Linked DNA regions of Drosophila melanogaster. The protein of the gene in region 1 interacts with the protein of each later gene in a pairwise test. Each region holds a gene or a part of one and is shown in the gene's direction. Other genes may lie near its edges.

Evidence for each region.
Region 2: the proteins of Rchy1 (region 1) and Arl5 interact in a two-hybrid assay, tested with the Drosophila melanogaster proteins (one large-scale study listed by BioGRID).
Region 3: the proteins of Rchy1 (region 1) and Spn28Dc interact in a two-hybrid assay, tested with the Drosophila melanogaster proteins (one large-scale study listed by BioGRID).
Region 4: the proteins of Rchy1 (region 1) and CG13159 interact in a two-hybrid assay, tested with the Drosophila melanogaster proteins (one large-scale study listed by BioGRID).

The regions. Positions count from the first base shown.
Region 1 is NT_033779.5:6,459,639-6,467,312, reverse strand, and holds the start of Rchy1 (ring finger and CHY zinc finger domain containing 1), read left to right. Parts: upstream 1-1,643; 5' UTR 1,644-1,784; intron 1,785-3,173; 5' UTR 3,174-3,469; coding exon 3,470-4,051; intron 4,052-6,596; coding exon 6,597-6,758; intron 6,759-6,831; coding exon 6,832-6,990; intron 6,991-7,318; coding exon 7,319-7,597; intron 7,598-7,665; coding exon 7,666-7,674. Other genes in the region: HemK1 (HemK methyltransferase 1), read left to right, coding at 1-494, 549-789.
Region 2 is NT_037436.4:8,297,949-8,301,740, reverse strand, and holds Arl5 (ADP-ribosylation factor-like 5), read left to right. Parts: upstream 1-1,901; 5' UTR 1,902-2,450; coding exon 2,451-2,990; 3' UTR 2,991-3,240; downstream 3,241-3,792. Other genes in the region: CG13671 (uncharacterized protein), read right to left, coding at 1-1,625; Rab19, read right to left, coding at 3,517-3,621, 3,670-3,792.
Region 3 is NT_033779.5:8,004,045-8,008,871, reverse strand, and holds Spn28Dc (serpin 28Dc), read left to right. Parts: upstream 1-1,661; 5' UTR 1,662-1,739; coding exon 1,740-2,440; intron 2,441-3,311; coding exon 3,312-4,221; 3' UTR 4,222-4,324; downstream 4,325-4,827. Other genes in the region: CG12560 (uncharacterized protein), read left to right, coding at 1-154, 220-430; Wwox (WW domain containing oxidoreductase), read left to right, coding at 4,684-4,775. UniProt on the Drosophila melanogaster protein: Serine protease inhibitor which is required for pupal viability and plays an essential role in regulating the melanization reaction.
Region 4 is NT_033778.4:12,373,577-12,376,203, forward strand, and holds CG13159 (uncharacterized protein), read left to right. Parts: upstream 1-1,709; 5' UTR 1,710-1,792; coding exon 1,793-2,023; 3' UTR 2,024-2,102; downstream 2,103-2,627. Other genes in the region: CG13160 (uncharacterized protein), read left to right, coding at 1-14, 72-252, 309-493, 547-690, 754-1,245, 1,298-1,465.

The DNA.
Region 1 (7,674 bases):
CTGCAGCTAAATCCCGGCCAGCTGGCGGATTTCGAGCGCTTCCTGGAGGCCCGTTGTGCCCGCATGCCGTTGCAGCACATCATTGGCGAGTGGGACTTCATGGACATTACGCTGAAGACATCGCCGTCGGTCTTCATTCCACGCCCCGAAACGGAGGAGTTTATGCGCCTGGTGATCGATGATCACAAGAACGCAAAGCACGTCGATCTTTTGGAGGTGGGCTGCGGCTCGGGCGCCATGTCCTTGTCCATGCTACACAGTCTGCCGCAGGTGGTGGCCACTGCCATTGAGCGTAGCAAGGCGGCAACCGTTCTGGCTGCGGAGAATGCCAAAATGCTGGGGCTGCTGAATCGATTTGAGGTACACAACCACACCATGGAGGAGGACAAGTACCTGCCGGAGGCGCTGAAGGACAAGAAGTACGATTTGATCATCTCCAATCCTCCGTATGTGAAAACTGAGGAGTTTCAGTTTCTGCATCCCGAAGTCGTGGTGTAAGTGATGTTATACCAGATGGATGCAGTGCACTAACTATCTTATATCCCCAGGTATGAGAACCTTAATGCCCTGGACGGTGGGTCCGATGGATTGAGGGTGGCTCGACTGGTTTTCGACTTGGCTTGTCGGCACCTGCGTCCCGGTGGCAAGCTCTGGCTGGAACTGGGCAACGACCACCCGCCGATGGTGAAGACCATTATGAATCTGAAGTACGAGGGCCGGCTCAAGTTCATCGCCGGCTACAGTGACCAGTATCAGCGCGAGAGATTCGTTCAGATCGAGAAGGTCTAGGCGAGATTGCGCCATAGACAGGACGGAATGCTATGACTTTGACAATGCAATTAGCTATAACGTTGCCCATGCATTTAGCTGTGATTTGATTTAAGACCAGACATACCTGCACGCTGCCCAGAGACTCACACCTATATAAACAGAATATATAGCGCTATTAATCCTTAAGTTTCGTCTCTGAATCTTTTAGCAACAACCGCAGGCGGTATTACTTCACAAATATACCTGTATAAATTGCACAATGCAATTAGCTGTTTGATTTATGACCATATTATTATCAGTATACAAAAACCACAACGACTTTTACCTAAGGCTTTCTACTGCATTTTTGATCCTATAATAATGGATTAACATGATTTTAAAGATCAATAGGTTAAAAGTATAATGCACCTATAATAACTGGTCACTGATTTAAACTATGGCGATTATGATTTATAACCAGAGGCTTGCTGCCATAAATTGGAGGGTGTTAATGATCATCGCGGATCGAGTATAATGCTGTTTAATCAAACTGATGTATTCTATATCTGCGATAAGCAAAATGCTAACCATATTTTTGGCCTGAAAGATGTGTATCCTGTCAATATATAGAATCAGAATATTTCTATGCAAATTAGAAAGTTTTTGCTTAAAGTTACCACTTTAATGCTTATAGGTGTACTGATTATGAAAACAAGGACACATGTCCACAAGGATTACCATAATTATGAACCCGAGTGCATAAATCCCCCGACTTCGCATCTGAATCTTGTTGTAACCGCTCCGCTGGAGAGCTTTAAGCTCCGGAGCGGATAAAAGCTCCGACAGAGTGGCTCGGAGCAACAAGTGGCTAACTTCCGTTGCCAGTTGGAAGTCGAAACTCGCGCCGGACGAGTCTGCGGAATCCGGGTGCGCGAGTGGAACGCGGATTTAGATTGTCGTAGCTCTTTAATTCAATTGACGATTTCGAGCTGCGATCTCCTTCGTTCGGCTGGTGTGTGTTGTTTCACTTTCAAGTACGCATACATATGTGTAGTATAATTAACAAATGGCTAAATCATAATTAAAGTCGGAGTTTCAGTGGATATCACAATGAGCGCTTGATGAAAGTCAAGAAGAGGGAACTTAAAAAGCGCCGAAACAAAACAAAAACGAGAAACACGTTAAACGAGAAATTGATTTTAAAAATTCTACATAAATTTGACCATATAGATTTGGGTAAATGAATGAATGTGCATATATATGTACATGTATATATATATACATACGCCCAAACTGCGATTTGAAGGCGGTTTGAATGTGGATTGGAAACTTTTAGAAACCAATTAGCCAGATCGTGACATTACTTAATGCATTTATCCGCCCGATCGACGCGTGCAAGTGTGTGCCTGTGTGCGTGAGTGCGTGCGTGCGTAAACATGAATACCGAATTGAATCGAGTTCAAACTTGCGTTCTTTTCGCCGACTGGTTTTCCGGCGAGGCTGGCTTAATCGCCTTGCGTTTGTAATTTTAGCACACTTTCAATATTTATTGTCGGTCCCTGCTCCCCGGCGCAGAAAATGCGAATAACAATCTGAGCAAACAAGATTCGGCAACGAATTTGCAGCTTGCCGCGCTGTGCAAATAAAAGTATATATAAAAGTATGTACATATATACATTTATATATAGCTGGTAATGCCTCCTTTGGCAGCATCAATATGTGCACCTGCTACGTGCAACACCGACTTGCAGCAACAGCCAACCGATGAGCGAAAGTCGCACGCCGATTGTGTTAACAAGTGTGTGGCTGGCTGCTCCCTGCCCGCATTTTAATTCATCATCCGCACCGTGTGCCAAGGCACTGCGATTCCCAATCCGTGGAGCTGTGAACGTTTTTGGCGACCTGCAGGCTAAGCAAGCGATTTATATGCTGCCGCTCACATGGCACAAGGTCCCATCCAAAAACAGCAGCGGCCAAGATAGTAGTTCATATGCACATATTTGGGTTCTTAACAGGTTAATTGTCATTTTATAATGATATGGGTTTAATAGGTTTCCATATCTGATCCAAAACTATACAGAAATGGAAGAAAGTCATCATAGGTGATCTTTTATTTGATAATTTCTTACATAAAGTTACTACTTCTTGTTCCCCATTGTACGTTGTGTACAGTGCGCGACGGCTAAGAAAACGGAGTGAAAATCAAGATAGTCGTTATCTAGTTTAGATGGCCTTTCGCAGTCGGGGACTGGGAAACATTGAAATGCAAATACGCCGCCTCGGTAGTTTCATTTGTGTGTCAAAAATTGTGTGGGGGTGTGGGGGGTTAACCCGGCTTAGACTCTAATCTGATCGATCGGAGTGTGAGAAATGGCCTGCTAATGGAATACTTACCACTTTCCCACACTTTTCAATCGCTTCAGCCGAGTGTGTCACCTGTGCGAGCCCATTAATACCCAAGGATGAGCTGGACAAACGAAAGTTAGTTGCGATCGCGTGAAAAGGGAAACCGGACAGTCGGTTTTTTGAGTGCGGATACAAAGTCTACATGTGGCACAACGACAACAGCATCGGCCAGTAATTTAAATGCTTCGCGGCGGCAATTGAAAGGGCCAGCAATTAACCACGACTACTGCAGCTGCGAGGCATAGTGGAAAATCACTTTTATAGACGTACATACATAACTCTATATATACATAGAGTTAGCTCCTGCAGCAAAATGAAGAACCGCCAGCGAACGCGCCGAATATCGCTAAATGAAAACCACAACAGATACATGGGCAGCGGCGGCATCGATGTACAAATAGTTACCAATACAAAGGAGCCCAATCAAGTCAATTTAAATTCATCGTCAGCCACGACGACCTCAGCGGAGGCTGCTCTGCCCGCTTCGCTTCCACTTGCTCAGATAGCGCAGCAGCCACATACCCATCCCCATCCCCATCCCAATCCCCATCTCCACCAGCAACACCAGCTGATTGTGACGCCCACAACGATGACGGGCAAGTATCATCCAGCGCACGCCAAGCTGCGAAGATGCAAATCGACGCCGAGTCTCAATTGCGATGGCATGGCGGAGCCCATGGAGGAGGACCAGCTCCATCGCTTTGCAGCATGCTCACGTAACCCCGCCGCGGAGGCTCAGCAGCATGCACAGCCATCGTGCAACAGCAGCAGCAGCAGCAGCGACGGCAGCTGCAACAGCAACAAGTGCAGCAGCAACATCTGCGGTGCGCAGCCAACAACTCCGGAGTCATTGCGCTTCGGATGCGCTCACTACAAGCGGCGGGCCATGTTCGTGGTAAGTGCAACAGGCAGTCCAACTCCATTCATATTATCTATGGATGCTTTTCCAAGCATTACATAAAAGGAAAAGCCCCAGAAAAGTTATAAAAGTTATACACTTGAACTTCTTTGATATGTATATCAATACAAATTTTAATCCTTTTTTAGTGTATCGTAGTATCTATAACCATTCTTAAGATTAGTAGATAGATGTTCGTAGAAAGACTAGACGGATCCATGTATCTAGCAGTCTTACTTGTAGTGAGATTAGTTTATTCAAACCTCAAATGTGAAACCAGTCAACTTATGTGATATAAGAACAAACTTCAATTTTGAAAGTTCTTTTTTTATTTTATACGGGTATAGTTCAATTCCTGGGTCATCAGATAAAGAATTATGCAATTGGAACCCCTATGTCATGATTAGAAAGCGGATCAGTCATTTCACTTTTATAAAATGAATCCTAAAAATACATTGAAATAAATTCAAAGTGATAAAGCCATTAAACATTTCACCCATTTGGAAAATTTTCAAGAAGATTATGATGGCGCCTCTAAATGGCATTTGTATGCCTATTTATCCATCTATCTATCTATGTGTGTGTGTGTGTCTATCCAACACAGCTACCTTCCTGAAAATGGGCGCATTTAACCTTTATTTATTCGTTCCTAAACAAATAAAGTGGCTAAACTCTAAACAGACACCTTTGGCGAAGATTCTTTTGTGTCTGTCTGCTGACTAGATTTTGAATTCAATTGGAGGGCATCGCTATTTGCACGGCAAGTGTTTGGCTTGTGTGGACAGCTTGACGATGTCCGGCATCCAAAAAACTAACTGGTCAGCATGCTCCGCTGAGCAGGAACTGAGCAGGAGGCGAGTGGCCACTGGCCAGTTAACACCTCCATTCGCCATTCATCTGGGCAAACAATGCGTTTGTCTTGATCGCTCGCGTTTGGATAACAAATTATGGGGCATCTAAAAATGTTGTGTGTGCATATAAAGCAATCGTAGCACGGCTATATTCAGGTTCTTTACCTTAACAATTAGTAGAGCCAGCAGACATAATTATCGTAAGGTGATAAGTACAGAAGTTCGAAGGTGGGAAAAGTAACTCAGTGCTGGGGAAAGTGGTAACCATTTCATGTATAAAGTATCTCATGCAGAGAAGACTGCAGCTGCACTTGATTAGATAGATTTGTTTGTGAATGACCTGGATTATTAAATAAAGAAAAAGAAAGTTAAATGTAAATATTTAAATACTTATAATTCCAACAGTAGTGAGCGCTTATTTGTTGTTGAAAAGCAGCCAATTCGCGATATGAATTATTAATTCCCCAAAAATTCTGTATTATGCGCTATGGCCTTACAATACTTTCCAAAAAATGTCACGTAAATCCGTACACACGCTTCAATCTGTCCCACATTTTAATAAAATTCGAATGTAGAGGTTTTTGCTTTCGTCTGTGCACCGCGAGAAATTCGGATAAGCGAGGGTTTTGTGCACTAATGAGGTGCCCATTGAGTGTTGAATCAGCTGGGTTATTTTATAGTCAAATATTTATTTTCGCCCGACAGTGCGTGAAATAAATGTATACATGAATGTGGACATAAGCTGAGAGCAGTATGTGCAATCCCCCAAGTGGAGCAATGCCCCATGGATATCGCCTGTTCCCGCGAATCTTGTATCAATTTGTGTTAGAAGCTTTGTTTCGTCTTGGCTAAATAAATTTGAGATGTCTGGAGTTAGCCAATTGCAGATGCAAACGATCATTAAAATACGATCGTTAGTGAAGCACAGCAATGAAAGCCGGGGGGAATGACAAAGAAACCGGATTCGAAGACTCTTCTCCGGTTCGGTTCTGTACTTCGAGTGTTATCATCGCAGCAGCAGCAGAGTTGAAATAAATACTTGTATACGAAAAAACTGTTGTTAAGTTATAAATAATTCTCAAAGATAGTGGAGATAGATGTGTGCGCGAGGCTGGAGGCAGATACAAATGGCTGGGTGTTGGCTGTAACTAAGCCGAACTCGAGGATACACAAGATAATTAAGGGCATAAATTAACTTATTTTCAAACTTTATCCCCAAGACAAAACTGATAGAACTATATCATGTAGTTCGAGCTGTGCATCGACAGGTGAACTAATTAGCAGCCACCTAATTAAACGACACGAGTACCTTTGGCATCTTTACAATCGGATTGGGATTCACCCGCTGATTTGACTCGAAATTCGTACAAAATTCGATTCAGTTTCAAGTGCCTTGTTTATGATAATGCTAAGTTATTGCCTTTGGCATGTAGACGTCACTAGTAGATTTGTTTTTTAGTCGGTTTCCAGGCAGATTTCTTAAATTAGCAACTCCATTTGGGGAGTTAGGAGTCGTGCTAATTGCCGCTCGATAATAGGTTTTTCGTAGTCCTTGACTGAGGGGTGTAGTCCATCGGCAGGTGTGGCGGGGAGCAATCTCAGCTCCATTTAAAGTGGAATTTTTTCGAGCAGCGATTTCTTTTCAGCACTAATTTGATCTGATACTGATCACGCAACTATATCTTTCTCAGACCCCCTGCTGCAACAAGTTCTACAAGTGCCGATTTTGCCACGACGAGAACGAGACGCATCACTTCGATCGCAAAACGCTCACCGAACTAATATGCTCCGAGTGCAATACGCGGCAAACGGTGCGGGAGCAGTGCCTCAATTGCGGCGTGAGATTTGGTAAGGTAAGATATCCATCCAGGTGTCCAAAAATCACAGCAAAACCCTACTAGTAATATCATTTTGATGTACTTACAGTACACCTGCCTGATCTGCAACCTCTTCGATGATGCGGACAAGCAGCAGTACCATTGTCATGGATGTGGGATTTGTCGCATTGGCGGTGCGGAGAACTTCTTCCACTGCGAGGTGTGCAACATGTGCCTACCTATTCAGCTGAAGATCGATGGCCACCGGGTGAGTTGGTACTACATTTGGCACTTCATTGGGCTTGATTAAGATTTGGCCTGTAAGTGGGAATGCTGACCTCCGCGATTCGAAAGCAAATCAAAGAAACACATTAACTTTTTTTTTTTTTTGTCAATTCATTACCAAAACCGGTTGCCTAATTGCTATATGTAGCGATATATGATCTGCGATCTGCAATCTGGGATCCAGTTGAGTGGATATGAATGTCAAATGTGCTGAAGCAATGACTTCATTAATTGACAGCGAATTGGGCCAGAGACTGGCATGGCTGATTGCTAAATCCTTGCTAATTGACAACGTGTCTATTTTCCCGTAGTGCGTGGAGAACATCTCGCGATCGCACTGCCCCGTGTGCCTGGGCGACATCCACACTTCGCGCATACCCTGCCACATTCCCGACTGCGGACACCTGCTGCACAAGATGTGCTTCGACCAGCTGCTGGCCTCCGGCCACTACACCTGTCCCACCTGCCAGACCTCGCTGATCGATATGACGGCGCTGTGGGTATACTTGGACGACCAGGCGGAGCGCATGCCGGTGCCACTGAAGTACGAGAATCAGCGAGTGCACATATTCTGCAACGATTGTCACAAGGTACGACTAGATATACATAATACTAACATTCATGAAAAGCTCTTATAACCTTATCCAATTCATTACAGACTTCAAAA
Region 2 (3,792 bases), on another chromosome or scaffold:
ATAAATACCACATTGGTGACATTTGGTCGCTGGATTGCCTGCAACAGCATCTGTCTATTGTATTTTCTACTGAACCCAGATTCCATCATGGCAAGAGCATTTTTGTGAGTCCTTGGCAATGTTCTGGCGTAAAACTGCCGTATAAAATCTTTAAGAGCTACGTAGGAGAATGTGTGTTGCTGTGGCATAACATACAGTGACTCTTCAGCCGCATCCAAGATGAAAACCTGCACCTGCTGATGGGTTTGCTGAATGCCAAGCTGGTGTAGATAGTCTCTATATTTCACAGAATCGAAGATCACCACGCCCAGCGACCGATTGTGGGCTGCGCGCTCCGTCGAGTGCTGCCAAATGAGCTGGCCATATTTGGTTACCATTTTGGCAATGCCGATTTTTATGGCCGGCGTTCCATGCTGTGAGTGTGCCAGGCAAAGGTTTCTGGAGTGAAGCCGCAGCAAGTGGGGGACGTTTCGATAACTCGGATGGTTCTGGTGCGAGTACTGCCTCCATAGGTGGTTTAGATACCTATTAATCCGATAATAGTTCTTAAGTGTGGTCTTGTTTTTACTCCAGGCCGGGTAACATGTCCGGGTTTGTTCACCATCCCCAAACAGCTCCTTGGGAACTTGATTTAGGGAGGAGGATATGTCTTCAGATTGTTTATCGAATTTTTTCCAGTAGTCTTCGCACCCCTCCGACTGCTTTTTTTGAGCGTAAGCCATCTCCTCGCCCATGACGCTAGCATGGTGATATTGGTTCATTCGAACTCCCATAGCCAGCACGGGGACATGTCGTGCCTTCATGGCGATGGTCATAGGAGTGCCATAGCCATTGGAGAACAGCGACATATTTTTGAGTGTGCTCCGTACCCAGCGCAGAATGTCGATGGTCTTCCATACTCCAGATGTACCATTAAACGTATGAACTCCATTTCGGCTGTCGATAACTACAAACTGGGGCAGCTTGGCCTCCGAGGACTTCAACATCTTCCTGGCACTGTTGCCAAAGTACACGGTGAAGCGGATATTCCTCTCCGGATCCAGTTCCAGCCAGCGCAGACCGGCAGCCAAGTAAAGATTGTAGGCCTTGTCGTCTGGCGAGTCAAGCAGACCCAAAACCACCGCATCCGAGTGCTTCCGAATGGCGGCGAGATCCTGACTACTGTGTGCCCGGTCCAGTGGCTGAAGCAGGTTATTCATGAACCGGGCGAGATCTTCAAAGCTCCACGAGCCCTGGTACTGGAGTAACTGCTTTTGGCCGTAGCGCACGATCAGCGTGGGCCATTTGTCAGGATAACCTCCTGCGCCGGCGACTCCTGGTGCCGGCATCAAAGTACGGCTGCAATTGCACTGCAAGTGCCAGCAATCGATGGCTCCAAAGAAGCCATACTCCTGGTAATAGTGGGCCAGTCCATTGTAGACCAGTCGTGCCTGCCGTGCTTCGCTGGCCCAGGACACGTAGTAAAATAGCAGCGAGATCTCTGACTCTGACGCTTCCGCACGGAGCTGGGGAACACTGCGTCCGGGACACTCGACAATGGGAGCCTGGTCGGATGTGGCTGACCTTGAGGCGTCCAACTGAGCGATAGAGAGAGCCAGGAGCAGCAGGCTCAAAATTATTTTCATTGCAACCGGTGGGAAGCTAATTAGATGTTAAGAACAACACAACAGCAACCGCCGTGAACAGATGTTTGCCGCGAGGATGGCCACACTGGTAACGTCGGTAGTGTTGTTAATAATAATAATTTATAAGTAATGACTAAATCTAAATTTTAAATTTGAAAATAATTCTTTAAATAGGTTCAATATTCAAAAATAACTTGTTTTGGAAATGCAAAAGAAACGTTGTTAAGCACTAAATGGTTACGGTCTCATTAAGCTTTACTTTCTTCCCCACACTGCCCGCAGTTATCGATAGCAGCACTATCGATTCCAAGTGATATTAATTAATCACTTCTGCTGTTTACTTTCTTAATTAAAACTCTGTTAATTAAATTATCAACAACGGCTGTTCTAAACCCACTGCGACGCGTAAACGAAGTAGCGTTTCCCGCTGCAACGAAACGAATGGAAACCACCCAAAGGCAAACCACCTGAAAATCGCTCACCAATCCCCCCAAAAAAATTCCCATTTGGCGAAAACAACAACAGTAATTAGGGTGTGAGAGTGTGGAGTGAATAGCTGAATAGTTAAATCAGTGAATAATTTACCGTACGGCCTTCGCCTTCCCCTGCGGAAACAACAACAAAGCTCAGCGTTCACTTACACCCACACACACGGGTCTACCACGCATACACACGCAGGCCAGCCGATAACCTGTGTGTGAGGCAATCGCCGTCATCGTTCGAAATCAAATCTCTAATCGGTGGAAGCAGCAACAACAATAACAGCAGCTGCAGCATAATCAACAATTGATTATATACGTATATAGCTAAAAATAAGGTTCAAATATGGGACTGTTATTATCGCGGCTCTGGCGGATGTTTGGCAACGAGGAGCACAAGCTGGTGATGGTGGGTCTGGACAACGCGGGCAAAACCACCATCCTGTACCAGTTCCTGATGAACGAAGTGGTCCACACAAGTCCCACGATCGGTTCCAACGTGGAGGAGGTCGTCTGGCGGAATATACACTTTCTTGTCTGGGATCTTGGTGGTCAGCAGAGTCTGCGCGCCGCTTGGAGCACCTACTACACGAACACAGAGCTGGTGATCATGGTCATCGACTCCACGGACCGGGAACGGTTAGCTGTTACGCGGGAAGAGCTCTACCGGATGCTGCAACATGAGGATCTGAGCAAGGCCAGTTTGCTGGTCTATGCCAATAAGCAGGATCTCAAGGGCTCTATGTCGGCGGCGGAAATCTCACGACAACTGGACCTCACCTCCATCAAGAAGCACCAATGGCACATCCAGGCCTGCTGTGCGCTCACCGGCGAAGGACTCTATCAAGGATTAGAGTGGATCGTGCAGCGCATCAAGAACAAATGACCCGCCACACATGCTACATATTAGCTAATTAATCATTAACGACTAGCTGTCTAGAGAAAGTAAACCAATTTTGATATAAACAATTTTTAAGCGTTTCCAAATTGTTTGAAAAGTTGTTGCCAAGCCAATTTTATTTAGTGTAAAATACGTCCGAACAGGAGTCCCTCGATGATTTAAATCTACGTGTATATGGATAATGTCTAGGAGCTAAGCCAATTTAACTACGATACTTCCAATAAAATTACAAAATAAACGAGTTTATTTCGACACTGTCGCATATCAAATTGAATACAAATTACAAATAGAGAAGTGGACGTATTTGCCTCTCTGAGCATTGCCTTGTAATTGACATTGTTGGCTCGATTCGCTGATGTGTGAGATTGTTTGTACTCTATCGTCAAAAATAAATACATGGTTGTGTAAAAGTTAGTGTCTAGGATTAGGTTAAAGCATTAGAATACTAATATATAGCCACAAGAACAATTTGATCACAAAAGTAAAAGCAAACTAAAGAGCGGATTTAGGTCTAGGTGAGATTGCATGAGCTGCTGCAACTCTTTAAAGGCTTTCCCTGGCCCAAGGTGATGGTGTTTTCTGGCACCTCCTCCACATTGTTGGCATCGTGTTGGCGCTGTAATTGGAACATCATTAGCTTAGGTAACAATAGCCGGAATCGTACTTTAAGTTCGTTGGCCAGGCAGCGGAAGGCGTCCTCCACGTTCATGTTCTCCTTGGCGGAGGTCTCCATCACGAACAGGATCTCAGGTATATATTGACACATCTGGCGCGCCTCTTCAAAGTC
Region 3 (4,827 bases), 1.5 Mb from region 1:
TACAGCACTTGACCATCGAAGATGCCGAAATCATCAATGAAAACTGGCCACATAATAAACCCGGCTCTATAGACTTTGTGAGAAGTTTAATTAAATATAATATTAATTTGGGTGCTTATGACGACAAGGGAAAGTTGGTTGCCTGGTGTCTGCGGTAAGCCATCGAACTGTATATAAATGTATATAAAAACTTATTAATTAATTAACTTTCCTGTTTAGATTGCCGATTGGATCCCTGGGTCTGCTGCAGGTTCTGGAGTCACATAAACGCCTTGGTCTCGGCAGCTTGCTGGTGAAGTCGATGGCTAAGAAGATTTCCGCAGCGGGAGATCAAGTTTTGGCGCCAGTAGTAACGAAGAACACCCCCTCGAGGAGCATGTTCGAGAAACTGGGTTTCCGTGCTATAGACAATACATACTGGGCTGCCTAGCAACTGAGAAGAAGCCAAAAACTAACATAAATATTATTAAAATAAATATAGTGTAGGAAATGATTGGTTTTTTAATAATAAAGAAGAGTGAATCAGCTCATTCAATTATAGCTGAGCACCCATGAATTTGAGCTTGAATTAAATTGAGATGGATTGTAATGTAAATTTAATATAATATATTGGATAAAATTGGTGAATATAAAATGATATAATCTTGAAATGTTAATGATTTCAAAGGAAGTTATTTACGCTTCCTTTGCACGTTTCATTTTTAATATTTTTTATAATGAAACTTGTGCTTAAATTGTCAAGTTAAATTTCCGGATAATATTTACTTTAATGGTCGATGGTTTTTATTATGATCAGTTTACCATAAACTGAAGCTGAAACTAACTAACTTAGAGTTAATAACTTACATGATAGATAAAAAACTTACACAACTACCATTAACTATTTTTGGTAACTGGCATTACAGAAGCAAAAATGAGTCATCGAATCTAAAATAACTCATAAAGCAAGTAACGCTTAAATATAATTTACGACGGGCTTGTACGACGGCATTATCTATTACCAATAAAACCCATCTCATATTTGTTTAGTTCTGATGGCCCAACAGATGAGCACAAATCTTATCCTAGCGCTGGGAAATCCCACCACGACTCCATCACCGTGTCAATGTGCCGCGAACTTTCCAATGACGAGACCGAGAATACGCACCAAACATAATGACTATAGTATATAGCTAATAAATATTTAAACTATTTACTCACCGGTTGCGAGAGAATATCAGTATGCACGTCACGGGTTTGAGATACATACGTACGTACATACATGCATAGATACAAATGGATGGGAGAGGGCTGCCATGGATTTCCGCAACAAAGTTCGCAGAATGCTGATATGAATGGGCGGGGGGCAGTACATGAGTACGTGAGAAAGTACCGATCGATGAAGATCAATAACAAGTGCAGACACGGGTCAGCCATGTAAACAAAGCCGGGGTATAACCAGTGACTCGTCGACGAAACCTCTCCCAGATCCAAGCTCGCCAAGATCCGAGAGCAGCTGGGGATGCAGAGCGCGAGAGATCGGGGACTTGAAGGAGCGTTTTTGCTTGATAACAAGTTTCCGATTCCAGTTTTATAAAGATGCGCGCTCAGCGCCAATCATTCAGTCTGGCTTTAACAACTCGCACAGCCACATCGCGTTTGCCTCTAAAAAAAAAAAAAAAAATATATATATATATATATATATATATAAAGTTCGTTCTGTGTGTTGCGTTCGAGATTAACAAAAAGAAAATTACAAAATGTGGCGCTTGCTTTTGGCACTTTTGCTCGTGAGTTCGGTGTGCTGTGAATCGGAACTATTTCGTGATGACCTGAGGACCCCGGAAACGATGGCCTACATCAATGGACTGATGCAGCGGCGGCATCAGATGCAACAGGAGGCGCAGCAGCACATTCAGGCGATACCGCCTGCGGTGCCCCTTCAATCGCCCGGCCTTGTGAACGGCCTTGGCAACCAGAATGACCCTGCGTTGAATCGCATATCCGGCACTTCGGTGAAACCTTCCAACCTTCCGGCTGCCTACTCCAACGGCTATGTGGATCTGGCCACCTCTGATCGGATTGCGAACAGTGTGCTGAACTTTGCCAACATTCTGGGCCAGCATTTGGCCAACGGTAAAACCCAGATATACTCTCCCCTGAGCATTGTACACTCGCTGGCTCTGCTGCTCCTGGGCGCCAAGGGTCGCAGTTACGAGGAGTTGTCCACGGTCTTCGATATTCCGGACACGTCCAGGCTGCACGAACAGTTCGGCCTGATGCTGCAGGATCTGCAACAGCCCACCAGGGAGGCGATCTCCGCAGGACGACCGCTGACCGATTGGCGGGCGAGCAGCGCGATGAGATCCAATCGACGGGCCCAGCGACCCGGTGCTCATGAGGTGCACCTGGCCAATGGACTGTTCACACAGACCGGCTACACACTCAATCCCGACTACAGGTGAGCCGAGCAGCGGATAATTATCCGGCTGCAAACTGGAACTATAGCGATATCTGGTTGGGAATGGGTGCTGGGAAATGCCAAACGATTAGCGATCGCCTTGAGGTTTTACACCGTGAAAAACTGAAGGCCATGCGGGCTAAAGTGATCTCCTTTTCTGAATGCCAAGTGAGGGAAACAGGTTCATTGTACCAGCAAAATGATCTCACCCATTATCATCAAGCGTTTAGTGTCTCTTGATGGTGGTGCTCCAAAAGGAAGTATTTATTTTATATTCGAAGATAATATACAACGAGAAAATATTAGAATATATTTTTCTGTGTAGAAATGAGCGTGTAATTCCACTTATATTTATGAATCTTTAAAGCCCAAGCTTTCATTGAGAAATATATATGTACGTACGTACGTATAAAGTTTAGAATATAAATGGGAACCATTGACAAACAAATTTAGTAAGAACTTTTAGTGCGATTGTTTTTATGTAGAGAACTTGAATAAAATTAAATCGGAATTGGAATTGGAATTATCAGTTAATCAAATATTTAATTAGAAACCTTAGGTCAAATAGTAGGTACAATGAATTGCCAAAAATTTGGCAAATAAAAAGCACTGATAAGAATGGATTAACTTAAAAACATAACTAAGACATTTAATTATTTATTTATTCTTCAATTATAGCTGATCAAACATTGCAAAAAAAGCGGAAAAAAACTACTTTCCCAAGTTATTATTTAGCTCACCAGATATTGCAATTCCAACCCATCCCCAGTTCCCCAATACTATCGCTCCACTTTGCACAACGTTGTTGGCATACTAATAGCTGCGCCTTGTTGATTTATTACTCATGAGCTCCACTTTTGTGCAATTCCAGACGGGTGATCGTCGAGGTCTACGCCTCGGATCTGCAGATTCAGGATTTCGAGGGCAGTCCGGCGACAGCACGATACAATATCAATGCTTATGTGGCGCAGCACACAAAGAATCACATCGAGAACATCATCGCCAGCGATATTCCGCAGACCACCAGGATGATTCTGGCCAACGCATTGTACTTTAAGGCATTCTGGGAAACGGACTTTATAGAGTCAGCCACACGTCCGGATAACTTCTATCCGAATGGCGAGGGAACGGAGCCGGTGATGAGGGTGCAGATGATGGCCACCGGTGGTGCATATCCGTATCACGAGGATCACGAGCTGGGCTGCAAGATCATTGGACTGCCGTACAGGGGAAATCTGAGCACCATGTACATCATCCAGCCGTTTAAGTCGTCGGTGAGGGAGCTAATGGCACTGCAGAAACGTCTGACGGCGGATAAGATCGAGAGCATGATCAGCCGAATGTACAGACGGGCCGCTCTGGTGGCATTCCCAAAGATGCATCTTACGGAGTCGGTGAACTTGAAGACAGTCATGCAGCGAATGGGGCTGGGCGGCATCTTTAGCGCGGTGCAGAATGATCTCTCGCTCATCGCCACCAACGAGGCCACGAGGACGAATGCGCTGGGCGGCAACAGCCTGCAGAATCTGGAGGCACAGCGCAGAGCCGGAACGGGTGGAGCACGTTCCGATCTGGTGGTGGATGACATTGTTCACAAAGTGGACTTCACCGTCAACGAGCAGGGCACGGAGGCGGCGGCGTCTTCGGTCACATACCTCAAGAAATCCGGTCCCGATGTCCTCTTCCGCGGAGACACTCCATTCATGGTCCTTGTGCGCCACGATCCCACGAAACTGGTGCTCTTCTACGGACTCATAAATGAGCCCCCGGCGGCCGCTTAGTTTCTAGGATCATAAGTTATTAAGCTTTAGCACCTAAGTTCGTTGACTTTATAGTTAGGAAACTAATAAATCATTCACAATGATGAAAAATAAATTAAAACGTAAATTATGAAAATTTGTATTGGTTTTTGTTGCTGTTGAATCTTTTCACATTATCCTATGTACCGTACAGCAGGCAGATTAAACAATGCCCACAAATGTTCAAGGCGCTAAGTTTCTACAAATCATTTAAATTTAAAAAACAACCGCCAATCAACCGGTTGCGGTTAAAAGCTCTGTTAAACGGAGATGCTGATTATTAGCGGGTAACATGTTTCGTTTAACGGAACAGCTGTTCATTTAGTCGGCAGTTATCGCTTAAGCCGCATGTTATCGATATCTTCAATTATTTTGTATTCTTTTTCGCAATAAAAAGTGTATACTTTAGAAATAAAGCTTTAAATAAGTTTAAATTGATTCGAAATGATAGCCCTACCCGACACAGATAGCGAGGATGAGCTGCCACCCGGCTGGGAGGAACGTGCCACCGATGACGGCACCGTTTGCTATGTGAAGTAAGTCAAAAGTCCAGTGGAGTCGTAAACATTGTCTGATATTTTTTAATTG
Region 4 (2,627 bases), on another chromosome or scaffold:
CGCATACGAAGTGTGTAAGTAGTATCACTTGTTAACGAAGTTATTTTGTTATACTAAGCTATCCTCTGCAGAACAAGATCCCCCATACTTATTACTTGCATATTGTGGGTCACGCGAACTGTGTCCTTTTGGCCATCTTGTGTTTGGGTGCAACGGCTCTTAAATACCGTAGTGCCTATCTATTTCTGATCTCTCTCATTTTCTACGTTGCTGCTCTGATCATTAACCTACTGACCCGTCTCCATTGTCGCGGTAAGTTAGCTTATATATTCGTGGAGAACTTTTAATGATTCATGCCAACACTTTAGGTTATCTGTGGTCACTGGTGCTGATTGTTTTCCAGATTATACCCTTCATTTACCACGCCTACTTGTTCCACATGTTCATACTTATTCTCATTCCGATGACTGGTCGCTTTGGCGTCTCCACCAATCCGGATATACTAATCGGCGCTCTATGTGGTTTTGGCACAATTTTGGCGTTATCTTTTGCTGTAAGAAAGTTATTCACATTTATTGACTACTTTACTTAATCAGTTTCACTTAGGCTCCTTTAATCAATGTCTTTCGGCGACCGAACTGCATGCTGGGTGGTCTGGCACTGGTTATGTTTATTTTCTGCATGATTGCCGTCTCGGATGTCGGATTCCCGTATCGGCCCAAAACAAATGTCATGCGTGCCGACTTCATGGTAAGGGAAACACTAATAAGCATCCTTTGAAAGACGACTAAGTTCTATTCTTTGTCGGAGCAGCAAGTGCATCGCAAATTTTTCGAGTACAATGGTTCCATCAGCCACGAGGATTCTGGCTACTACTTCCATCTGGGGGATCGAAACAAAGAGGCACCTCTGCGCGATCACATGAACCTGACCAACCTGGTACGCCTGGGCGAGGATTGCGACTCCGAGCTGATGTGCGGTATTCCCTGCTACCGATATTGTAGTGCCCGGGAGCATGCACTTTGGCTTGCTCGAGAGGAGCCCGTGGAACTGCCTTATCCAACGGTCTTGGAGTTCCTTAGCAAGACAGTTCTGTCCGGTGGCTATCAGGTGCGCTATGAGTTCCGGCTAACTGGTCCGCCAAATATGGGTCTGTTCTTCAAGCCACTGGATGGTGTAAAACTACTCCGATGGACGTTTGCTCCCGCAATGCTGGATAATCCGGCCACTTACAGGCCTCCTCTGGAGGTCATGTTAACCTACGGTATTGATAACACTCCCATCGAATTCTTCGTGGAACTTTCTGTGCGTATTTAATGGGTCGTTCTGATAACTATACTAACTAACTGATTCTTAGAAGGACGATGGCAACTTCAATGAACCCGTCTTTGAGATGGGCGTCTCTGGACACTATGTCAGTCCACATGATAAGCGGGATGCGTTGAGCCTGGAGTTCCTTGCCACACTTCCGGACTTTGCCTTCTCGATGGAGTGGCCCAGTAGCTACGAACGGCATATATTCTAGGATAGTTAGCTAATAAGAATACCAAGTCATTGACACTCCCAACCCGAAAAACTTTTATTTTTCGGAAAATGGAAGGGGATCAAACATTGGATGCATTTCACAATGAGTTGGTCGGTAAACATTGGTGGGGGAAAGCTAGCAATGTAGCAAACGGTAAAGGAACCATTTGTGCAAACATTACAGGGAATACTACGACTGCCGCAGTCAAAATATGGGTATAAATAGTGAGGCCTGGACCAGCGAAAGACACACTCAGAGTTCAGCAGCTCGTCCGTCGATAAGCAACAGCCAGCCAGCAATCCTAAAAGCCCAAAAAATCCAATCAACATGAAGTTCTTCGCTGTCCTCGTCTGTTTCTCCGCTGTCCTGGCCATCGCAATGGCATCTACCGCAACTACAACCAGCACTCCCACAACGCCCTCTTCGCCCACGACGACGACGTACACCTATACTACCACCCCGACCTACCCCACCTACACCTACACCACGGACACCACCACCACTAAGCCAATCAAGCAACAGCTCCTGTCCCTGCTGTTCAACAAGAAGTCCGGATAGAGCCGCCCATCCGATCCACGATGCTGCCACTTGATACGATCCTCATCACCTGAATAGCCAAATAAAAACACCAAATACCAAAAAACAAACAAGCGCCGTCTCTTGCTCTCACACAATACCGCAATCGAAGTTAACCATCTCACGTAGCATTGGGCGGTGGGACATTTGGGGCTTTACTTCCACCTCCACCTCCATTTCTACTTCGGCGGTAACTGACATTTGCTCAACTGGCAACGGAACGCCCCGGCTCAGGCATTACCGCCTTTTGGCCGGACCTGTTCAAGAAACATCTGTTCGGCTGCCGCAAAGGTCAAGCGGCACTTGCCACATTCAGTTAGCTGGTGAGTAAGTCAGTTGGCCAGCCAGACATGATCATGGTCAGGTGGCAGTCATAATCCCGCCAATGATGATCATCAAGCCGTTGAGTCAAATGTCTAATGACTGCACTGACAAATTGATGTAGGAATGCAGCAGTCTGTCCCTATTCCTCTCACGCTGCCGAGGATGAGTTATGAATGTCAAGCTGGTCATGTTCAACACGATCCGAGATGATCATAGTGCCTCCAACGCCCCTCGCAATACAGGTGCACAGTGGGCGATGGCT